Cricetulus griseus: one gene and its partner. The protein of the gene in region 1 purifies or fractionates together with the protein of each later gene. This does not show direct contact. Links are inferred from orthologs where the notes say so. Each region holds a gene or a part of one and is shown on either strand. Other genes may lie near its edges. The genes, in order: Kcnj4 and Dlg4.

What was found.
Region 2: the proteins of Kcnj4 (region 1) and Dlg4 purify together in Homo sapiens (affinity purification with western blotting, with the first as the bait; 3 studies listed by BioGRID). This does not show direct contact. The link is inferred for Cricetulus griseus from reciprocal best matches to the Homo sapiens genes KCNJ4 and DLG4.

What each region holds. Positions count from the first base shown.
Region 1 is NC_048595.1:376,673,932-376,677,810, forward strand, and holds the start of Kcnj4 (inward rectifier potassium channel 4), read right to left. Parts: upstream 2,885-3,879; 5' UTR 2,261-2,884; intron 1-2,260. UniProt on the Homo sapiens protein: Inward rectifier potassium channels are characterized by a greater tendency to allow potassium to flow into the cell rather than out of it.
Region 2 is NC_048600.1:83,885,777-83,889,586, reverse strand, and holds part of Dlg4 (disks large homolog 4), read right to left. Parts: intron 2,699-3,810; coding exon 2,403-2,698; intron 2,255-2,402; coding exon 2,152-2,254; intron 1,993-2,151; coding exon 1,878-1,992; intron 520-1,877; coding exon 343-519; intron 95-342; coding exon 58-94; intron 1-57. UniProt on the Homo sapiens protein: Postsynaptic scaffolding protein that plays a critical role in synaptogenesis and synaptic plasticity by providing a platform for the postsynaptic clustering of crucial synaptic proteins.

The DNA of each region.
Region 1 (3,879 bases):
TCAGAAGAGAGACGACAGATTGCGTGAGCCAAATTTGGCATCCTAGGGGGAGAGGCATGAAAAGTGGAGATGTGGAGGAGAAGAGGAGCCTGGGGAGGTACCAGAGAAGCCCCCCTGCCCAGCAGACCCCCGGGTGCCTCCTCTGCCTCTGCTTACACGTCCTTTCTTCCCTAGCCTGCCCTAGCCTGCATCCCCTGCCGGCTAGTCAGCCTAACCCACCAGGGACCCTCCAAGCCTGGGTGCTGCCAGTCCACCCTCCCCCACCCCTACACACTGCTCCAGCTCCATTCCCACCGCTAGTTTCCTGGTTACCATGTTGCTGGTTGTCATGTCGCTTACATGTCCTCGTGACTCAGTGGTCCCTGCAGAGGGGCCCCCTCCTCCTCACAACCCCCTTAGCACTCGCCCCCGCCTCCCCCAGATCTACATTAAGAACCTGCCCGCCCTGTGTAGCCCACACAGTTCCTCCTCCCCCTCCCTCTCATCCTAAGACCAGAATCTTCCCACAGCATCCTAGAGTGACTTTGTCCTCCAATCCACAAATGTCTCTTGAGAGCCTGCAAGCCTTGGCTTTCTTTGCAAGCTCTTCTCAGGGGCCCTGACACTATGTGCAAGCCACTGACATCTCAATGGAGTTAGTGCTACACTCCCATTTTCCACTTGTACAAACTGAGATCAGAGAAGAAAAGTCAGCTGCCCAAGGTCACCCCAGCAGAAGACCACGGACACGTCTGTCTGGCCAGTCACCTCTATGTAGCCCCCGCACCAGGGAATTGTTTCTTCAAGGATGACACAGGGGATCATTGGGTACAGTTCCCAAGTCCCAAGTCCCCCATTTAATGCCTAGACATTTCCATTATTGTCAGTCTGTATGTCCAGCCATATTCTTGCCACTCGGTAACTACTTATTTTCTGTCAAAGTAAATTGAGTCCTTACTCCCGTCTGCCCAGCCCTTCCTCCAGCCCACCAGTACTCTGCTCACGGATCTCAGGGCCCTCCATTGGAGGTCAGTGGGGCAGATCTGGTGTCCCCATTCCACATATGTGTTGGCAGAGGCTCGGGTAGCATAGCTTACCCAGTATGCTAGTTTCTCAGCTAGCTGGGGTTCATTTCTAAAGCCTGGATCAAGTGATATAGGAGGCATGATGCCCAGTATGGAAAACTCCAGGAAGAGACCCTTCCTCCAAAGGGAGAATAGAGCTGAATGCTCTGGGTCCGCCCTCCGGTCTCCAGCCTCATGCCAAGCAGCTGTGCCCCTACCATGTTGCACGCAATCACTTGCCCCAAGTGTCCTGCTTCCCCATTTGCTCCTCTTCTCAGAAGCCAAGTCAAGCCTATTCAGGGCTCTTGGGTCCCTAGAAGTCCTGGAAGGTGCAGGACTGGATGGAGGGTGGGAGTGGAGTGTATATTGCATCTCTGGGTCCAGCCCCTCTCTGTCCAAGGCCAGACACTCCCTCTTCTTCCCAGCTCCTTCAACCTACTTCTTGGTGCTCTCCTGCTCTTGAGGCACTGTCTCTGTGAAGCCCAACCACCTTGCTTCCTGATGCCTGGAGGCCCCTGTTGCTTGCCTCTCAGGGTTTACCTATCCCTGTCTTGAAGTCTGGGTCCCTTACATAGTTGTGTGTGGCAATAGGCTGACCCTGGTTAAGGGACATTCTGCAGGTGTGGGGGGATGGAGCTCTCTCTGCTTGGAGCTCAAGGCATCACTCTTTGCTGTGTTCTCCCCTTGCAGAAGAGGGGGTGCATTTTCCCTCTCTCTGCAGCCTCAGTTTCCACCACTAACTACCCTGAAATGTCTCATTTATGCACCCCTCTCACCTACCCTAGCTTTATTTGGCACAAGGCAGGTACTCAACACAGCAGAAGGGGGATTTTTGTCATACTCAGAACTATCACAGAGATTGCAGGTGGGAGGTGGGAAGTAGAGACACCCCCTTCCCATCTTGCTGCAAGTCACCTGCCTTGCAGCTCCTGGCATGGAGGTGGGCGAGGGCAGAGAAGGGCCATTGCCAGGGCAGGAGGTCAAGATCTCTTCCATCCATCTCCTTTCTTTTTGCCAGCCGAAACCCATAAGCGACAAATGGACAGAGCAGCTCAGGGAAGTCACAGGACCACACAGGGACCTTTCTGGACCCGGGTCAGAGAGATGAGTGCAGGATGCATATGGCAGGACAAACAGACACCCCCTCGGCTAGATAAGCATGGGGACGTACTCACTCACGGACTGACAGCGCTCGCGGTGGGCGAGCCCGAGCTTACCCCGGGGCGTAAGATCCGAGGCGGTTCTGGGCGGCGGGTGGCCACTACATCCCACGACGGAGTCCGGCGGGCGGCGTCCGGGGGCGCCGGGGTCGGGGCGCGGGCGCTGGGTGCCCACGATGTCGCCGTTAGCCCGTGAGGCCGCCGTGGGTCTCGGGGTCTCCGCGCCGTCCCGCGCTGCTTCCTGCGCAACTTTCAGCGTTGCCCGGCGCCAAGAGCTGGGCGCTGCCTGGGTGGTAGCATTGTGGAGCCCGGGCTCAGGTTGTGGGGTCCCGGGGCCCAGGGCGTCCCGCCGCCCTCTGTCACCCACAGCCCCGCGACCCTCTCGCTGTTCGGCTCTGGGGTCGCCGGGCTTTGTGGCCACCTCGTGCCTGCTGCACGATCCCCGCCGCTGCGTCTCGGTCCCGCCTCTCCTCCCGCGGGGTTGTGGACCTCGTCTCTGCGTTCCGGCTCCTGCCCCGCGCCGCTTCCTCGGCCGGCTGTATCCTTCTCCGTCTCCGTCCCTCCCACTCCCGCCGCCGCCCCCTCCGTCTGGGACCCGGTCCCCGCCGCGTCCCCGGCTCGCCCGGGAGCCCGAGCTCCCGCCGCCCGCGGCGCGCCGAGAACTCCCAACTCGCAGCACGCGCCCCGCTTCGGAGACTTTCGCCCCTCCTCACACGTGACCCGCGCCCCGCTGCGGAGGCCGCGCGCCCCGGCTTCCAGCCCCAGGCGCACCCCGCCCTGGCCCTCCCGGTGCGCCCAGCCCACGCAGGCAGGTCACTCGCGTCCGGGACCGGCGACTGGGGCAGGGGTCTTGGGGGTTGCGCCGTCCCATTCTCTCCCGGATCCTGCCCGGGTTTTCCTCCTCGCTCTGCCGCGCTCCTCCCGGAATCCGTTCCGAGAATCCGCTCCCGGGTTTGCGAGGCCCCCCGTGGGCAGGTGGGGAGGGTTCTCCGTACCCAGGAGAGGGTAGGTGAGAATCGGTCTAGCTGAGGTCCAGGTGGCCCTGACCCTCTCCTGGACGGTCTGTATTCCCTCCCGAAGCGCTAGCAATTAAGGATCCTAAGCACTCCCACTTGGGGAGATAGAGGTCGCTGTTTTGGAGGGACCCTAGTCAGTAAGGCTCCAGTTCACATAGGAGAGGGAGACTGAGGATCCACAGAGGTCCATAAGTTCACAAAAGGTCACCCAGTGAGATGGAAGTGAAACTAACCCTAGTCCCTGTTTTCTTCTTCACTTTATTAAGTTGTCTTTTAGTTTCTATTTATGTGTGTTTGTGTGCTCGTGTGTGTGTGTGTGTGTGTGTGTGTGTGTGTGTGTGTGTGTGTGCCACGTGTGTGCAGGTGCCTGTGTGTGCATTATGTGTGTGCAGATGCCCTTGTGAGTATATGCGCACCACGCCTGTGCAGATGGCTGCGTGTGTGTGTGTGTGTGTGTGTGTGTGTGTACCACCTGAGTACAGGTGCCTGCGTGTGTGTGTGTGTGCACCATATGTGTGCAGGTGCCCTTGTGAGTTTGTATGTACCACATGTGTGCAGGTGCCTGTGTGTGTCTGCACCACATAAATGCAGGTGCCTCTGTGTGTGTGTGTGTGTGTGTGTGTGTGTGTCTGCACTACTTGTGTTCAGGTGCCTATAAAT
Region 2 (3,810 bases), on another chromosome or scaffold:
GCTCAGAAACCACCCCCACCACTTCACCACCAAGCTCATCATCCACCCTCCACCTACCTTGGCCTTTAACCTTGACCACTCTCGTCGCTCAACCCTGTGGGATTACATGGAGGAAGAGCAGGAAATAGTAGGGAAATGCTCAATGACATCCCACCCTCTGGACCAGGTGGGAATAATATCTTCCTAGCTGCCCCTGGGCCCTATGTACCTCAGTGAGAAGTTCTTTCCCAGGGGCTGATGGGAGCCATGGTCCCCAGCAGGGTCTAGCACACACCCAGCCTGGGGGACCTAATAAACTTCAATGCCTCTATCAGGAAGGCTGCAGGGCCCCAGGAGCCTCACCGTCGTTTGCTGGGAATGAAGCCAATGTCATCGGTCTCACTGTCAGAGTGGACCCGCCGTGCTTGCCACCACTCTTCATCACTAGCGTCAATTACGTGAAGCACATCCCCAAAGCGGAAGCTCAGGGCCTGGCTCAAGAAACCGCAGTCCTTGGTCTTGTCGTAATCAAACAGGGCCCTATAGCACAAGGGACTATGGGTCAGGGACTGGCTGAGAACTCCAGGAAGGGTGCACCAGCCACCTTGAGAACCAGCCAGATTCTGGGCAAGGAAACTTGCCATACAAAGCATGGACTGCTGGCAGCACACACAAAGAAACCCCGAACCGTCTAAGGACTAAAAGCTCTGCCGAGTTTCTGAAAGAGCAAAGATGCAGAGAAAAACAATGTGACTGAGGAGAAGAAACAAGCCCCCAGGGTCATATAGTACCAGCTGGCAGTAAGAATTCTAACCCTTAGGGACCTACTAGGCTCCAACAGCGGGGGAGAGCATGGACGTGGGCCTCCGAGAAGGAACACAAGCATCCAGGAGAAACACAGCAAGCTCAGGCTAGGTTGTGTTGACTGTGACATGCCCATGGGACAGCCCAATGGAGATGGCCCAAAAACAACAGCCGGAATTGGTCTAGGCCTCTAAGCCGGTATCAAGCCAGGCCAGACAGCTTTAAGAGACACCTGTGTATAGCACAGGCAGCTAAGGCCAGCCAACTGGAAAAAGAAAGAGGCTGAAGGACCAAGGCAGGAAGAGGTAAGGAGGGGAAGGAAGTCCCAATGCCTTGTGAGGGGCCAGGCAGAGGATCCCTGAGATGGGGACAAATGCTGCTGGGCAGGCAGCGGGGGAAGCTGAGGTGTGTTTTCAGCAGTGGTTTCAGTGCGAGCCTAACATGCATGAGGCTCTGTCTGGATCCAGTCCCCAGCACAGGGGGAAAAATGGAAGGAAGGAAGGAAAAGAAAGACAGACAGACATACAGGAGGCACACACAAAGAGCTGCAGTCCTTTCCACTGAGGCTTCCCACAGGGTTGCCAAACTGAAAGACTCAAAATATCCCAAAGCTGGGCATGGTGACAAGTGCCTGGAGTCTAAGGCAGGAAGATTATTAAAGCACGGGAGTTCAAACTCACCCTAGGCAAGAACGGGGGAGAGGAGGAGGAAGGAGGGGGGAGAGAAGCAGAACGGGGAGGGAAGGGGAGGGAAGAGGGAGGGGAGGGAAGGAAGGAGGGAGAGGGAAGGTGCTAGAGATGCCTACTGTGTCAGACACTGAACTTAGGTCCTACTGTGAGAGCGCTTGGGGAAGCGCTTGGGTGACCAGGGCTAGAAAGCAATTAAGACACTTGGGGCAGGGGCTGTTTTTCAAGCTAGATAATATATTCTAGATTAGCCTATGCAGCCAAGTCTATGAACTCCTGAGCATCAGGTCTGGATGGGAGAGTAAAAGGCAGGCAGGATTTAGGGAAGGAGCTGGGTGGGGACTGGACGCGTTCAGGGGGAAAAGAACACACGGAGGCCTCAAGCATCATGCCCAGGGAGCTTCTCACCTGATATAGAAGCCCCTCTTGGGGTTGCTCCGTAGGGATGCAGTCCCTGAGCCCAGGCTACTATTCATAAGCTGTTCCCGAAGATCATGGATCTTGGCCTCGAATCGGCTATACTCTGAGGGAGGACAAGAAGGTTCTGGAATTCTGCCCCACCCTAATGCCACACACACACACCCCTACCCTCACTCCATCCCTGCTGAGGCCATCCATCAGCTAAAGTGACAGTTCTGAGGCCCATTTTAGCCAGTTAGGCAGGGAAGCTTAGACCTGGTACCTTCTGGTTTATACTGAGCAATGATCGTGACCGTCTGACCCGCGTTCTTCAGGGCAATGGCGGCCTGTTCATGGCTGGCATTGCGGAGGTCAACACCATTGACCTAGAAAGGGGAGAAGAGGCTGTCACCTAAGTCTCAGGGGGTCAGGGAATGGACTAGCAGGACCAGGCTGGATCCCAGCCAGCCCCTCCCCAAGAGCAGAGAGCTCTGTTTAGGGGGAAGTGCTGACCCTTGCACAGGCCTCTCTCACCGATAGGATCTGATCCCCCTTCCGCAGCTCCCCACTGAGGTCAGCAGGGCCCCCAGCAAGGATGAAGGAGATGAAGATGCCTTCACCGTCCTCGCCACCCACGATGTTGAAGCCCAAGCCTGTGGAGCCCCGGTGGATCACAATTCGCCTTGGTTCCCGGGGAATGTCTTCCTCCCCAAGCAGGTCCTTGGCCACCGGGGAGTAGCGCCGAGGGGAGGTGGGGGTCATGGCTGTGGGGTAGTCGGTGCCCAAGTAGCTGCTATGACTGATCTCATTATCCAGGTGCTGAGAATATGCTGAGGGAAGACAGAAATGGGTGAGGTAGAAATGCTAGGACAATAGTACCCACCCACCCAGTCTCTCCAGGGAAGCCTAGAGCCAGGCTCCACCAAGGAGCAGTTATTCTGCCAGAAAGGCATGTTGGTGACCAACAGCATCAGGGGTCAGGAATTTACAGATGACATCAAAGGTAATAATCTGAAGGTCATATGTCTTTAGTATGCCAGCAATGGTGAGACCAAAGGGAAATATTAGTACTATGCTTTTCAGACTGCCTTTTGGTTAAAGTGTCTCTCAGGTCTCTTAATCCATAAAATTTCTCTCCCTCGTGGCTATTCATTTACTTTTTTTTTAACTGTCTATTTTCCCACATTCTATGAGGGATAGTCCTGCTTATATCCCTGTGGTCTCAGTCCTGTCTCGGCTCCCTTTCTGTTTTCCTAGGCTTGTCCTAGAGGCTTGAGCAGACTCAAATTCATTGTGAAAATATTCCCCCAGGGGGTATTCCCACTACATGATCCTGTGCTTCCCACTACATGACCACAGGAAGCAATGTTGTGGGGCCACGCCCAGCACATTTGAACCCCAGCCCTGGGGAGAAGCGGTGGAAGTTCAGTGAGTTCCAGGCCAGTCGGACCTATGTGGGGTCATCGGCCCCATCGGCTCAGTACAATGTACTCTGTCAGCCTGCCCTAAGTTCTGGCAGGTGTCTAATCCTGCTATTTGCAGGAATTGCAAAATGTTAACATTCTACAATCATAAGTAAGATTCTTATAAAGGACTGCCCTACCTGATGATGGGTGTCGTGTTTGAGCCCACTATCCCACTCAGGAGGACTGCTGCAAACTGAAGGCCAGCATGGGTAACATGATGACTTTGAAGTCAGCTTGGGCTAAATAATGAGACCCTATCTCAAAATGGTAACAAACAGAAAACATGCACACACACACACACACACACACACACACACACACACACACGAACTGCTGCATGGCAACCCTGGTGCTTACTCTGGGGTAAGGTTTATATAGAAGAGGGGACGGATGACTAATTCTGTCCCTTACACATTTTCAGGAAGAATGATATACCTCTAGGTAACCTAGCATCCTCCCAAGGTAAAAGAAAATGA